2 linked regions of the Diceros bicornis minor genome follow. The protein of the gene in region 1 purifies or fractionates together with the protein of each later gene. This does not show direct contact. Links are inferred from orthologs where the notes say so. Each region holds a gene or a part of one and is shown on either strand. Other genes may lie near its edges.

Region 1 (7,905 bases):
TATACCTCTTGAATTGAGAAGTTCAGAGAAAAGGCAGCCTTTAAGTGTGCTTCAATGGCATTCTCTCCATCCTGCTGACCTTCATCTAGCAGTTTCATCTTCAGGCTGGTTTTCCTCGTGGTAGCAATATAGATGAGGCAGCTCAAGGTGCAACACCTGCACTCAATGCCATCCAAAAGAGGAGAGGGGCTGTATCCCAAAACTTTTGGCAAAAGTCCCAGAATTTTACATGGTAGCACTGTCTTAGGTCAAATGTCCACATCTTACAGTCACTAGCCTGGGGTTGGTATGTACTCGTTGACTTAGTCCAGTTCACATGCTCCATTTATAAGAATGGAGTAGTGTTTCCCAAAATCTCATGCACCCCCTATGGAGATCAGGGGCAACAAGGAAGAACAAATGAAGAAACTCAATTCTGGTCAGAGTAGCAGTGACTTCCTTGTCTGTTGATGCCCAGCCTCACACTGGCACTTCTATATTCTGCTTTATATCCAAGGGAGCTGGAAAAGGTCATTTTCCAGAATCCACCAACCATTGGTTTCCTGTATTTCTACCAATGGAAGACACCCGAAGGTGCACGGGAGAAGGTGATTCTTTTCTTGTTCCTTGCTCTGGCAGTGGCAGGGGTAGGTGACTGCTGGTGGCCATGAGTTCCTGGATTCCTGCAGCCTCTGAGCATATGGGGTCCTGGCTTCCCATTGTAGCAGTTCAAACAGAAATGCTCCAGCAGCCTCAGGGAGCACGTGAGTAGGCTCCTGGGACACCAGTAAAGCCTCTGCTCCTCCAACCTTAGGACAGCTAGTGACTTTCTGCAGTTACTGATTTCAGAGTATCCTCATCTTCCTTTTAAGGCTCCTCCAGTTTTATGTAATACTTTTGCAACCAATTCACCGCATTAAATTCCCTTTGTTTGAAATACTTAAGGTGGTTTCTGTTTGCTAAATAGGACCCTGACTGATACACTGCTGTGAAAAATGCTTCAAGTTTCTAGGTTATAATTGTATTAAACCAATAATGGATATGCATATCATTCCATAAACAAATAAATAAATGACCAAACGTACATGATTATAAAACAATTTAATGTTGACTTCCTAAATCCTAACCATTTTGAGAAAAATGTGGTATTGCAAAACATATTTGCTGCCTGTACAACTGTAAGCTATTTCCTTTATGTAATAGAGTGCACTAAGTGTCAGTTTTATTAAAATAATAATCTAGTTTTAAAATAAATGATTCCATCAAAAAATAAAATATAGCATTTATTCTTATCTTTCAATATCTTTCAATTCTTATCTTTCAATATATTTAATCTTATCTTTCAATTCAGTGAGAGGTCATGTCATCTAATGAAACAAACGTGGACTTTGGAGATAATATAATAGCTAATATTGTCAATATAAGGCATCTAAAAATCAATACATATATCATGTATACACACAACCAGGGTTAGGAACGGCATGATTGACTTTACAATCAAACTGTAAAATCTGACTCAGTGACTGTTTTGTGTTGGGCTATTTCTCAGGCATACAATTATCATAATTCAGTTGTAACTTCTGAGGCTGCAGTAGAAACACTGAAAACCAGTCAAAGAGAGAGCATTGATTATCACATTAGGTAAAGGAAAAACACAAGCAAAATTGTCTACTATGGTATTATTTACAAAGGAATTCTACTAGAAAAGTACCTATTATTTGATTACTGTAAGTAGGAAAACAGCAAATGGTAGGACGGAGACCAAGTGATGTATCAGCTCTTGGAACAAAATCTTCAATTGAAATGTAAAAGTCTGCTTTCCAAAACTTCCCTTTGGCTTAATTTCTATTCATCTGCTAGCTATAATGACTGGTGCATTCCTGAATCTGGTTTGCTCTGTTTCCAGACATATGAGAAAGTTGTGACCACAGTTATCAGATGATTGCTGGCAAGTGGGAAGAAATCGAGCTTACGGTTGGTACACAAAATAGCCCCAGATCAGTGTCCTCAAATTTTTTGGTCTTGGGATCCCTTTATACTCGTAAAAATTACAGAAGACTCAAAAGAACTGTTGTTTACATGTATTAATCTATCAATATTTACCAAATTAGAAACTAAGACTGAGAACTGTTTAAAATATTTATAAATTCATTTAAAAATAATAAGCTCATTAAGTACAAAAATAACTACATTTTCCAAAATAAAGATAACTTAGTGAGAAGAGCAGCATTATTTTGTTTTGCAAATCTCTTTAATGCCTGGCTTAACTGATATAGCCAAATTCTAATCTCAGCTTCTACATTCAGTCTGTTGGTACAACACATATTATGTAGCCTCTAGAAAACTGCACTGTATGAGAGAGAGAGAGAGAGAGAGAGAGAAAGGCAGCTGGAGTCTTAGTATTATTATTGAAATAATTTTCATCTCTGGGGTCCTCTGAAAGGATCTCAAGGATCCTCGGGGAACACTGGAAAACACTTTGAAAACTACTGCCCTAGATGAGTTACATCAATGGTTTTCAACACATTTTCCACTGTAACACATATAATTTTCTCATGCGTGTTTTCATGGATGTCTTCAGATATTAACTAAACGAAAAGAATATTTTGAAATTAAGGAAAACAAATAACTCAAACATTTTTGGGTGTTGGGAGGATAGTATGGGGAAGAGGTGATGGCTGGAGATGTGCGGTATTCATGAAAGCATTTTATATACTTGTGGGAAAGAGACAGTGGGTTATGAATAGCGAGCAATTCCTTGCAGTCTGTTGCAACTCCTTTATGTTTGATTCAATGAAGCAAAATAGAATGCCAGTGACAGTAACATTATTACAGAGATACCCTGAATTTGTTAGACTCTGATTTATTTCTTTAAGTAAATCACTTGAAAATTTGGACAGTTTAACAATTACTGGAAACCAATTACTTTTAAAACACTTCTGACAATGTTGAGAGGCGCTGTCCTGTATTATTCATAGAGAGAAACTCATCACTGTCTCTCAGGTGACTGGTGGAGATCGGGTGCATACGATTCCATACACTTAGTTCTCCTCTTTATACACAATTACTGACAAATAAGTTCTTATTCATTTATATATTATTTGGTATATAAATGTGTGTGCACATATTCTTTTGTTCATTCGACACATATTTATAGAGAGCCTCTCTAAAGCGTCAGGCACTATTCTTGGCAGTTGGGATACAAAATAGAATACAAATTACTGCTCTCAAGAGATTTATGTTCTAGTGTGGAGAAACACACAATAAAGATGAAAAAGCAAACTAAATCATCCTTATGTTGTGGTAAGTATTAGTGAGCAAAAGTAAAGGAGGGGCATAAGAGATACTGGGAGTGGGTGATGTCATGATTTAAAATAGGGTGGCAAGCAGAGGACTGACTGAAAAGATGGCATTTGAGCACAGACAGAGGGAGGAAGCATGTTCTAAGCAGAGGAAACAGCAACTGCAAAGACTGAGGTCGAAAGCTTATGTAAAGTCGTTTTGGAACACAAGGCTGAGTGAGCAGTTTGGGAGTCAGAGAGGCAATGGTTTTTACTTTGTATTGGGAAGCCATGGGAGAGTGAACAGAGGAGCAGTACGATCTGACATCCTTCTTCATAAGTTTACTTTGGCTTCAGTGTTGTGAATAGACTCAAAGAACAGCAAGGACAGAATCAAGAAAACCAGTCCCTGGGTTATTGCAATAATCCAAACAGATGATGTAGCCTGTAGTACAGGTGGCAAGTAGTCAGATTCTGGATGTGTTTTGAAGGAAGAGCCAACAGATTATTTGCAAAATGGATATGGAACATATGAGAAAGAGAGGAATTAACGATGAGTTTGGATAGGGAAAGATGGAACTATTCACTGAAATGACTAAGATTATGAATGTGGCTGAGGGTATGAAGCCTAGAAAGGCATTTTAGTGGGACTCCTGTTGATTAACTCCTTTAATTAACTGCAGATAGAATATAAATTATAATATTCATTTAGAGAAACTGTTCTAAACATGTGCCTAGAGCAAGTGAAGAACGGTGAATAACTTTTCCTATATTACAAGTATTTACGGATCAGGAAACATATCGGTGTTCTGATCCGGCCTCTATCTTGAACAGGAAAGTCTCTAAGCAAGTCGTTTAACCTTGTTATATCTATTTTTTAATTGATAAAATGAAGAACTGGACTACGTGAACTCTTACAGTGGCTGCCTGCCTCCACAGCCCAGCTGTGCCTGTCTCTGTAAAGTGGGAATAACAAGAGTACCTACCACATAGTTTATTGCCAGCGAAAACGTGTAAAGCACTTAGAACAACGCCTTGCACACTGTTAATGTTAGTATTATACCTTCAGTTACATATCAAATTTTTGCTATTATCTGTTCATGGGGTGTGTAGCATAGACGGATGATAACTTGGAATGTCCTAAAGGTACTTTTTTTTTTTTTTTTTGAAAGAGAACAAGCAGTACTTTGCCAAGGACTCTTCACCCCGAAATCCGGCCAGGCGCGCCCAAGGGCTTCTTCTGGATCTCCAAGCTGGGTTTCTGAGCAGCACCACCTGCTGGTCCCACACGCGCTTACCTCCTCGGCTCCAAATCTCTCTCTGGTAGACCTGCATTCTTTCAGAGTCTTCCGCACCTAATTACAAATTACAAAAATTGCAAACCAAAACATAAAGCAGCTAGAACAATCCAGGCAGCGAAATCGCAGGTCCCCCAAGGCAGGAGCAGGCGGTCCCCCGCGGCGCGCTCCGGGGCGGGGCGGGGCGTGGGGAGTGGGGCGGCGGGGCGGGGCTGGTGCGAGCTCCCGGGCGTGCGGCGCTGCTTCCGCCCCGCGCGGCCCCGCCCCCGCGACGGGCGGTCACGTGACGGCCGCGCGCGTCCCCGGCCGCTGCGGGCTCTGAGGCCGCAGAGAAGACTGCGAGGCGCCCGCGGCCGTGGCCGGAGAGGTGGGAGTCGGGGCGAAGCCCTCGCGGGGGCAGGGCGAAGTCTGCCACTCCGGGACCCTGACTTGGGGGGAGGAGTGAGGGCCCGCGGTGTCACCTCCCGTCGCGACGCGCTCCGGGTGGGCCCTGCGCGCCGGCCTGAGGGGCGGCGGCGGCGGGGTCAGGGGCCGGGACGTCGGTGGACGCCCTTGGGCCGGCGCGGCCGCGGCTGTGGGCGCCCGGGCGGGAGGGGACGGCGCAGGCCTTCCCGCCGCCCCCACTGGGGCTGCTGTCGCAGGCGAGAAGACTGTGGCGGGCTCCGCGCTGTCCCGGCCGCCGCAGCCCGTGCCCTGGGCGACGGCCCGGAGCTGGTCACGGTCGGGGTGCGAGAGGCGGAGCAGCGGCCATTACTGCGCAGCCTCTTCCGCCGGGTCCTCGTCGCTGCCTTGAGCGGCAGCCTGGTCTTCTCCTCTCCCCTCGGTGGTGTTGTCAGGCCTGTGCCCGGGGACCTTTTGGCCTCAAGACTTAGGGGCGGCGATGGTTTGAGGGTGTCCTGCTCCCTGTTTCGCGTGTGGAGGCCTCCGTCCGGGCCTTGGGTCAGATGGCAGCCGGTCCCTGTGTTTTGTCCTCTTCCGGAGTGTCTGTGGCTGTTTCGTTCTCTTCCCCGTCTCTCTCTTTTTTCCTCCTGCTCAGCGTCTGGGTCTGCCCCCATCCGAAGAGCAGCCCCTCCACCTTGTCCTGGTTAAACCCAGCGCTGCATCTTCTTCGTCGTTTTGATGGTTACTAAAGCATCGGAAACATTAAGAGCTCTCTCCGTACCCGTTGAGCCTCCGAAACCTCAGTGCATCTTCAAGCGGAGGCTGTTGCTTTGTTCTTCTGGTTGCTGGGTGCGGAGTTCTCTCCCTACCCCCATCCCGTCTGAACGAGTGCGGGTCTTCCTTGTCGCTATTTCGTTGTCCCTAGACGTCTAGAGAAAGGCTGCAAAATTGTGTTGAGTTCACACACCCATTCTGGCAACTAGATCCTTTTTTCCTTGTTAGCCGTTTTCGTATATGTTTTTGTGTCTTTTCCCTAAGTGCCATTTTAGTGAGCACTTATTTCTCAAGTTTCGAAAGTACGTAACATTTTGTTCAAGTAATATTTTTGTAATATTACAGTGTGAAATTGAGGGAGAAGAAAGCCAAGAAATGATTGAAAACGCTTTGTCTTTGTATGATGGACGTTTCAGGAGCTGGGGCACAGCCCTCCTTTCCAACGTGTTTACTTTTTAAACGGGATGTGAAAGTATAAGATTGGCATTGAAAACAGTATATCGTTACAGAAATTGGAAGACTTAAGACTGTTTTTGTCTTTTTAATAAGTGAATCTATATTTAGACTTTTAAAGACGTGGCATATAGGACACATGAAGAAAATGACCCGAAAAAATAACAGGATTTATGATGTTAGCTTTGCCCTTTTTGTCACCATCAAATATTGTTTATGTTGAGTGTCTGGGTGCTCTAAAACCACATGAAAATAGGTCAAGTAATGTTATTTTACAGAGAAAACTGGAAGAGTGAAAGCCACTCTAGAAGCAGATTTCAGATGTGTTTGTTTTAGCCTGTATATCTTAAATTGGAGCATTTCATTAAGCCTGATCTTTTGATCTTTGATTTAGAATTTATGCTTTAGATGGACCAATGTAAGTTGTGGGCAAAATGAAAACAATGGTCAACATTTGAAGGTTTTTATTATTTACTGGTTGTTAAAATTTGGTGGAATTATAATCATCAGGAAAAAATGTTTTTCCAACTAGCTGATCATTAGACAAGGGAAGAAAAAAAGAAATGGTGTTTTTTCTTTTCGGAGACGTGTGTCAGCTGGTCAATATTTTGTTTCGGTTTCCACCAACTTGAGTTGTCAGAAGAATGGGGGTAGAATATTTTTGAAAGGATCCAAAAATGATTTCTTGATGCTATAGAAGAAAAAGATAGTATTCAATCTTTTCACAGTGTTAGTCTATTCAAAGAATATTATTTTGTGTATTAGCCATTTACTAGCTTGAAACACCTGATACACTGTCAGTTGAGTATTTGAATGCTTTTTTTTTTTCCCCAGCGTTAGTAACAGAAGGTGCTGGGCCATTTTCATTCTCTTGCCTCATTTCTGATTGTGCCTAAGGAACCGGAATTTGTGAAACAGGCTGGATTAGGAACAATCTTTGTGGGTATGGAAACCATCTTATTAACATTCTGCTACAACTACCTGTGCTTATTTATGGACTATTTAGTGTTCATGGCTTATTACTTTTGGGGTTAATTAAAACAAAACCTGTTGTTAAATGCCTGTTAATTAAAGTATTTAGAATTTAGACTTACAGAAATATAGAGTAGGGTGAAATGACTGAGACATGGGAGCTATGACTTGACCAAGGTCACACAGATAATTAGCAGCAGAGCCTTTCTTATTTACATAATGGTTTCAGGCTATGAAACTGCTGTTTGATGTGATTAAAAGACAATATTTGTTTACATTCATATTTCTTGTTTTGTTAAAATACAAAGCCCATATTTTGGGGGGGGGGGGATGTAAAGGTTTAATGCTTGAGTATGAAGATTGTGAAGGCCATAGATTGCCATGCAGTAATTTTTTCAAGGGAAGTGCTATACAATAAGGGAAATAATTCTTTAAAATAGAGTAGTGTAAAGTATTGGGCCCCATTTAGTTGAAATGAGTTTTAACTGAAGACTTGTTTGCAAGTATGACCTGTTCTTTCTGTAAGCCAGTTTTAGCAGAGGATGAGAGGGAAAGCTAAAAATGGAAACATTAGGGCATTTAGTTACATCTCTCAATTTGGGACTCTTTCTTAAGAAACGTTAAGGTGTATCTGTTAAATTACACCCAGTTTCTCTATCCTTCTTTTACTGGCCCTTGTGGTTTTTTTTTTTTTTTTGAGTTTGTGTACCATGAGTTGAAAGGTTTGCAGTATTTTTCTTTTCTGTCACTGATAGCTTTTATATAGA
Region 2 (7,497 bases), on another chromosome or scaffold:
AAGAACCAATCTCCACAGCTTTATTGAGAATGAAGAACCATGAGCTGATTTGAATTATTACATCTTCCTACAGCTGTTCCCTTTAAATATTTATCCTGGCAAACACCACTATCATTTTTTACAACTTATTTTATTTTTATTTTATTTATTTATTTTTTTTGTGAGGAAGATCAGCCCTGAGCTAACATCCGTGCTAATCCTCCTCTTTTTGCTGAGGAAGACTGGCTCTGAGCTAACATCTATTGCCAATCCTCCTCCTTTTTTCCCCCAAAGCCCCAGTAGATAGTTGTATGTCATGGCTGCACAACCTTCTAGTTGCTGTGTGTGGGACGTGGCCTCAGCATGGCTGGAGAAGCGGTGCGTTGGTGCGCGCCCGGGATCCGAACCCGGGCCACCAGTAATGGAGCACATGCACTTAACCGCTAAGCCACAGGGCCAGCCCCAACTTATTTTAATTGTGTGACTATTAAGCAAACCAAACCGTAAAATCGGCTCTTGGTGCTGAGATTTATGTGATTCAAAGACCAGCGCTTATTAAAAAAGGAATCCACTGAGCTCAAACTAGCCTCACGAGTGCCCTGCACTGTCTCTAGGAAGGTGTGAAGTCTTTTCTCTGTTCCCGCCAGTGGCTGCCAAGCTTCCAGTGAGTAGCATAAAATCCGAACAGAATCCACCCATTTCCCTGTGATTTTTTTTTCCTTCTTCTTAACAATCCTAATGAGTCTAAACTGGAAGTCAAGGATGCTACAGTCTTAAAGGGAGTGGCAGAAGCTCTGAGAGGCTCACAAACACATCAGTGGCTGGAGGATTTAGGATCAAGGTCTGAGGGAAAGACTTAATCGTGGGACTTTGAATAACTGGGAACAGGCAGGAGGTATCCTGCTTATTCGTCACCAAGATAGTTCTTGATTTGGATCATGGAACTATTTTGAGACTCCAATAGATGCTCTCCCTCCAAAAATGCACTTACACACAAATATTTATATAAAATTTCAGGGAGTTCAAGGACACCCGTGAGCCCATCCACAGATTCCCTAGGGATCCAGAAACCCCAGGTTACTTCTTACTACTTTCACTGTTACCACCCAAATTGCCCACATTTCTCCCCTATATTTTTACAGTAGCTATCCTAACTCATCTCTCAGTTTCTCTACACAGCAGCCAGAGTGATAACCATCCTGTTAAAACCTAAGTCAGATATGTTACTTCTCTGCTCAGTACAATCCACTAGTTTCCCATTTCACCTGCAGTAAAAGCCAACATCTTGACTGTGGTTTACAAGGCCCTACAGGATCTGTCTCCAGACACCCTGCTGACCTCATCCCCAGCTCCTCTCAACCTTAACTCCTGCTGCTCCAGCCACACCCAGCTCCTTGCTCATCTCCCAACACGACAGACTTCCTGGCCTCTGGACCTTTGCCCGCTGCTCTCTCTACCCTAGAACTCCACGTGGCTCTCCTTCAAGTCTTTACTCAGTTGTCACCTTGTTGGTGAGGCCTTCCTGACCACTGTATTGAACACTGCAACCCCCACCCCGCCCTCCCTGGCACCTCCTATCCTCCTCCTCTGCTTTCTTTTTCTCCGTAGCACCATCATCACCTTACACACCATGCATTTTACTTACTGTTTATTATCTGTCTCCCACACTAACCTGTTAGCCCCACAAGGGCAGGGATTTTTTGTCTGCTTTGTTTCACTGCTGCATTCTGTTCCTGGCACAGTGCCTACATAGGGCAGGCACTCATAAATACTGCACTGATTGATGACTCACTGAATGGATAAACTGCAGTGGTAAGGATGTATCCAGGCTGGGGAGTGGAGGGGAATATACATTTACTGAAATTCCTCTAAATGCCAAGCAGTTTGCAAGTTAATATAAGCCATCTCATTTAACCGTCACACACAATCCTAAGAGGTATTTTTATCCCCATTTCACCATGAAAACTGAGGGCCAGAGAAGTTAAGAAAACAGAAGAAGGTTACACAGTCAGGGGTGGAATATAATTCAAACCTAAGTCCATGTGATTTCAAAGCCCTGCTATTCCCACCACCCGTTACCTCATTTTCCTCGGCAGCAGTTCCCAGTTCTCTAAGGAAACGCAACTGCCAACTTTCACACCCAGTTACATTTTACAGTGGGAGGCCTGAGTCAAAGAGATCATTAGAGGTTCCTTGGAGCTCGAATCAAGCAAAACAAACAGCGAGAGCCTGAGTCCTTTTGCATATTTACATCAAACATTGTCAAAGATACAATGTAATGAACACCCTTCTGAGGGAGCTTATCACTTTGAGAGTTTCATTCATTCATTCCATTCACTTATGGGTTTCATTCATTTATTCATAAATATTTGCTGAGTGCCTACCATCTGCCCAGTGCTGTTCTGGGCACTGAGGATAAAAAGATGCATAAGGCACAGATGTCACCCTCCACAAACAGCTCTGAAGTCTAGGGCAGTGCTGTCCAATAAAAAAAGCACAATGTGAGCCAAGTATGCAGTTTTATATTTTCTAGTCACCACATTTTTAAAAAAGTAAACAGTTGAAATTAATTTTAATAATATATTTTTATCAAACCCAACACCTCCAAAATATCAACTTCCACATGTAACATAAGTATATGTTAATGAGATATTTTACAGTGTTTTTTTTGTTTGGCAACACATCTTCAAAATCAGTGTGTATTTTACACCTCTAGCACATCTCAATTCAGACTAGCCACACTTCAAGAAAGCCACACGTGGTTCGTGATGACAGCGCAGGGCTGGGTAAAAAGACAGATACAGTCAAGAGGATTTTCAAAACAACGTAGTAAATGCCGTGATAGAGATATGTTCAGTATCGCTCAACTGCCAGAGTTAGGACTTGACCCTCCAGTGACCTTCCAATCCCAAAGACCTTGTCCATTCTGTGGCACATTAAAAACTTTCCTCACTTCACACAGGGGGACTGTGGTTGGCCGCAACCAACCAAACTTAATATATTCAAAACAAAACTCATCCTTTTACCCCAAATACATCCTCCTCCTCCCCTCTCATTTTCCTATTTCAGTTGAAGCCACCATTATCTACCTGCTCGCTCAAATCATCCTCATCTCATCTCTAAATGAGCATTTTATCAAGAAGATAATTTAACTAAATGCTTATCAAAAAATGCACCTTCCTCTCCACCCCAAATAACAGAGCTTGTCTAGGCCACTTTCATCTCTCACGTGGCTCACTACAAGAACCTTCTCCCACCCCACCCAGTTTTATTGAGATATAATTGACAGACACCACTATGCAGTATGAGTTTAAGATGTGCAGCATTATGGTCTGAGTTACATATATTGTGAAATGATTACCGCAGCAAGTTTAGTTAGCATCCATCACCTCCTACAGATACAATACAAAGAAAAAGCAAAAAATTTTTTCCTTAAAAATATGGAATGCTTCACGAATTTGCAGTCATCCTTGCGCAGAAGCCATGCTACTCTCTGTATCTTTCTAATTTTAGTATCTGTGCTCCTGCAGGAGCACCAAGAACCTTTTAATTGATTCCCTTGCCTCTCCCCGGTCTAGCTTCAACAGTAGTTACTATTCCATAAGGCCCTTCATGGCTCTCCATCCCCTCCACATTAAAGGCCAAGTTCTTTTTCACATAGCACAGAATTCCCTCCAGGATCTGATCTTTGCTTACCTAACACTGTCCAATTGTTTGCCTTTCCTAGACCCTGAACAAGTTCACTTACCTTCTCTGAGCCTGCTATTCTTTTGTAAAAATAGCCATCCTAATCTCTACACAATCAAGGGGTTACTCTCCCCATCATTCCTTTACACTTTATATCTCTCTATCCAGTACCTCTTTTCAATTCAATCATATTTACTGAATATTTACTATGAGCTGGGCACTGCGCGGGACACAAGGCAGAGGGATTACAGAAAAATAGATTGAATGACGCGGTCTTTGCCTTCCCCGTGCTTATTACAATGTAGTTTCTCAATCAGTATCTTTAAGGACTAGATAATCTCTAACGTTATGAGCAAATCAGAGGACCCTCAGAAGCTCAAGCCGGGCTGCGTCGCCGGGCGCCACCACGTCCCCGCAACTCCACGGCGATCGCAGATAAGCAACCACCCCCACGCTCCCAGACCCAGCCCACAGGCTCACTCCGCCCCACCGGACCACAGCCCACGTGGCAGGCGAGGGGCGGGGAGAAGCGTGGCGCGGCGGGGGGTGGGGGTGTGTGTGGGGGGGGGGGGGTGGCCTGGACCTTTGCGCCTGCGCGCTGCGCCAGCTCTAGGACCCGGATTTAAAGAGACAGGCGCTACAACCGTCGTGGCTGCGCGCGGCCTGCGGGCGGCGGGTCAGAGGCCTGCGGTGTGCGCCGGAGCCAGGAAAGCAGGTGAGGGGCGGCGCGGCGGGACCGGGCAGCGGGGAGAGAGGCGGCCGGGGATCCGGGGCTCGGCGCGGCCCGGAGCCGCTCCTCGGTTCCTCCCCCGCCCGCGGAGCCCCGGGCACACCCTCCGTGACGTGGCGGCCCCCCGGGAGCCCACGGGGGTTGGCTCGCCGCTCCCCGGGACCCCCACGGGCCGCGCAGGGAGGGTGCCCCCGCCCACCGCTCGGGCCGCGCCGGAGTCGGGGCGCTTCGGGAGGCGTTCGGGAGCCTTTACCTTCCCGCCGCGTCCCGTTCCCCGGCCCCGGGCTGTGTCCTCGGCCCCCGGCCGGCCCGAAGCGAGGGACGCGCTTCCCCGCCTCCCTAGCGGCCAGTAACGCTGCCCACTCCGCCGAAAGCGGTCAGGCCCTCCAGGAAAGGCGGCCGCCGGGCTGTCACTTCCCGGCCCGGCGCGGCTCGCCGGGCCTGCGTTCAGGCCTCAGCGGTTCCTAGAACTCGCCTCCCTTTGAGGAAATGCAGACCGCAGCCGTTGGGGGTTGTGGGACAGATGGTTTCCTCAAAGCAGCGTTGTGCCTCCGCGCCCCAGCGCCTCCCGGGCCGGCCTGCGGAGGGTGGGGCGCCGCGAGGGCGCTCCGCTCGGCTCCTAGGATCACGGGGGCGGGTGGCTCCTCCGAGGAAGGTGTGGAGACCTGAAGTGTTCTGAGCTCCCCTTACGGGCCTGCCATACTCGCACCTACCTCACCTCTCTGGTTCTTGAACTTCTGCGGGTTATAGAACCCCTTTGTGAATTTCATGAAAACCATGGACCTTGTCTCCGAAAAAATGTACATATATGAATGTGCACATTTTGTATGCGTTCTCAGGGAGTCAGAGCCCCCCCACCAGCCCATCATCCATGGATTCATTTTAATTTTCCCAGCCATCCGTGAGGTAGGTATTATTTTCCGTTTTAGAAATAAGAAAACTGAGACTCGGAGGGGGTAATGTAGTCCCTACACTGGACGGTCACCCTTGCACTCCCATCGGTGATTCCCATCCACGCGCTCTCCTCTGCATGGTGTTGCGCTGCAGTAGATAAAGCCTGCTTTTCGTTGTAACCCAGTAGCGATTTCACGACAAAGCGGTGTGCATGCTGAGAATAATTTCCAGTATATTTCAATTTGGAACTGTGAAGATACTTTGGAAAATATAAGAAGGTGAGGGGAGACCATGCAGATATGATCCCTATTTCCATTTGGGTTGATTTATCAGTTTCTTTGATTCTTGCCATCCAGTTACTTCAGCATTCCCTGATTCAAGGTGCTGAATTATAAACAGGCTAATTGCACATAGGGAGCCTCTGCTTAAAGGATAGCTGCTTCACTGATTATAATAGGAGCCAGTATTTACTGAGCTCCTGTGTGTGCGCAGCTCTGTTCTAAGGGCTTTACCCTTAGAATGACAACCCCTTGAGTTAGGTACTAATATCATCCACATTTTACAGTTGAGGAAACTGAGGAACAGAGAGGTTAAGTAACCTACCAAGGTCACGTAGCTAATGAGCTAGTATTTGAACCCAAGCAGTCTGTTCTAGGCTCTGTTTAGTTGCTTCTCAAAATAGGGCTTCTGATTAAGTCACAAATCTATATAGTGGCTTATTTATTTTCTGAGGATGGCATGTATGTTATACTTCACGTTAAAAACTTCATGAACATAATGTCATTTTTATTGGTGATTAAAAAGAAACTTCAGGATCTTGTAATACTTAAGGATCATCATCCATTATGATTATCAGATATTGCTGATGGCTGGAGAAAAGCTTTTACGTTATTTGGATTCTCTTGATTGTGATTTACTAGATATACATGTGTACATTAGATCATTGAACATTCTTTTTGCAAACTGAATTTCCCTGTATCGGAACTCTTCTTCATCCTGTAGGCAATAAATCTTTAATACTTTGGTATGCGTTTGATTAGTCAGCATGGACTGTATTAGGACTTTGACCTTTGAGAAAATTGGAAGCCTAGCTCCTTGTTTGTATCTCACCTTTTCTGACTCACCCTTTCATGCAGCTGTATGACTTTGGCTTTCAAGATCCTCTTCCCACCAACCCTCCGAGCACTCAGCCGAAAAGAACTGTGCCTAATCCGAGAACAACATCACTGGCCTGACATCAGACAATTCAGCCATTGGTCGAAAACAGATCTGCTTCATGGGCGCTGCTTCCTCCAGAGAAGAAAGCCATTTCTGTCATTTCAGGAAGGCAGTCTAAGACCGCGTGCCACCTGCCTTGTTTACTTGCCAAGGTTGCATGTGGGACTCTGCAGTGGCCCCTGTGAGATGGCTGAGCAACGGTTCTGTGTGGACTATGCCAAGCGTGGCACAGCTGGCTGCAAAAAATGCAAGGAAAAGATTGTGAAGGGGGTGTGCCGAATCGGCAAAGTAGTACCCAATCCCTTCTCAGATTCCGGGGGTGATATGAAAGAGTGGTACCACATTAAATGCATGTTTGAGAAACTGGAGCGGGCCCGGGCCACCACGAAAAAAATTGAGGACCTCACGGAGCTGGAAGGTTGGGAAGAACTGGAAGATAATGAGAAGGAACAGATAAGCCAGCACATTGCAGGTGGGGTAGAGAACACTTTCTCATCTTAAGTGCTGAGAGAAAAAGGGATAAGGAGAGTCGAGGCCAATTTTTTTTCTTTCTTGTTTTTTTTTTGTTTAACTTTTTATTTGGAAATAATTTTAAACTCACAGAAGAGTTGTAAGAATAAAAATAATACAAAGAATGCTCATATTCCCTTTACCCAGATTTACCTATTGTTAACATTTTCTCTCTTTGCTTTGTCTTTTGTGTTCATGTGCACTCTGTTACTCTCCCCTTTCACACAGAGGTTTTTTTTCCTGAACCATTTGAGAGTAGGTTGCATACATCATGGCCCTTTGCCTTTAAATAGTAAATGTACATATCTTAAGAATAAGAATATTCTAGGGGGCTGGCCCTGTGGCGCAAGCGGTTAAGTGTGCACGCTCCGCTGCGGCGGCCCTGGGTTCGCCGGTTCGGATCCCGGGCGCGCACCAAGGCACTGCTTGGCAAGCCATGCTGTAGCGGCGTCCCATATAAAGTAGAGGAAGATGGGCAC

The links.
Region 2: the proteins of RNF146 (region 1) and LIG3 purify together in Homo sapiens (co-immunoprecipitation; 3 studies listed by BioGRID and IntAct, counting the BioPlex papers as one, with this or other methods). This does not show direct contact. The link is inferred for Diceros bicornis minor from reciprocal best matches to the Homo sapiens genes RNF146 and LIG3.

What each region holds. Positions count from the first base shown.
Region 1 is NC_080762.1:10,388,454-10,396,358, reverse strand, and holds the start of RNF146 (E3 ubiquitin-protein ligase RNF146), read left to right. Parts: upstream 1-4,836; 5' UTR 4,837-4,925; intron 4,926-5,665; exon of another isoform or gene 5,666-7,109; intron 7,110-7,905. UniProt on the Homo sapiens protein: E3 ubiquitin-protein ligase that specifically binds poly-ADP-ribosylated (PARsylated) proteins and mediates their ubiquitination and subsequent degradation. May regulate many important biological processes, such as cell survival and DNA damage response.
Region 2 is NC_080757.1:23,607,539-23,615,035, forward strand, and holds the start of LIG3 (DNA ligase 3), read left to right. Parts: upstream 1-4,289; 5' UTR 4,290-4,381; intron 4,382-5,048; exon of another isoform or gene 5,049-5,302; intron 5,303-6,426; 5' UTR 6,427-6,430; coding exon 6,431-6,980; intron 6,981-7,497. UniProt on the Homo sapiens protein: Isoform 3 functions as a heterodimer with DNA-repair protein XRCC1 in the nucleus and can correct defective DNA strand-break repair and sister chromatid exchange following treatment with ionizing radiation and alkylating agents.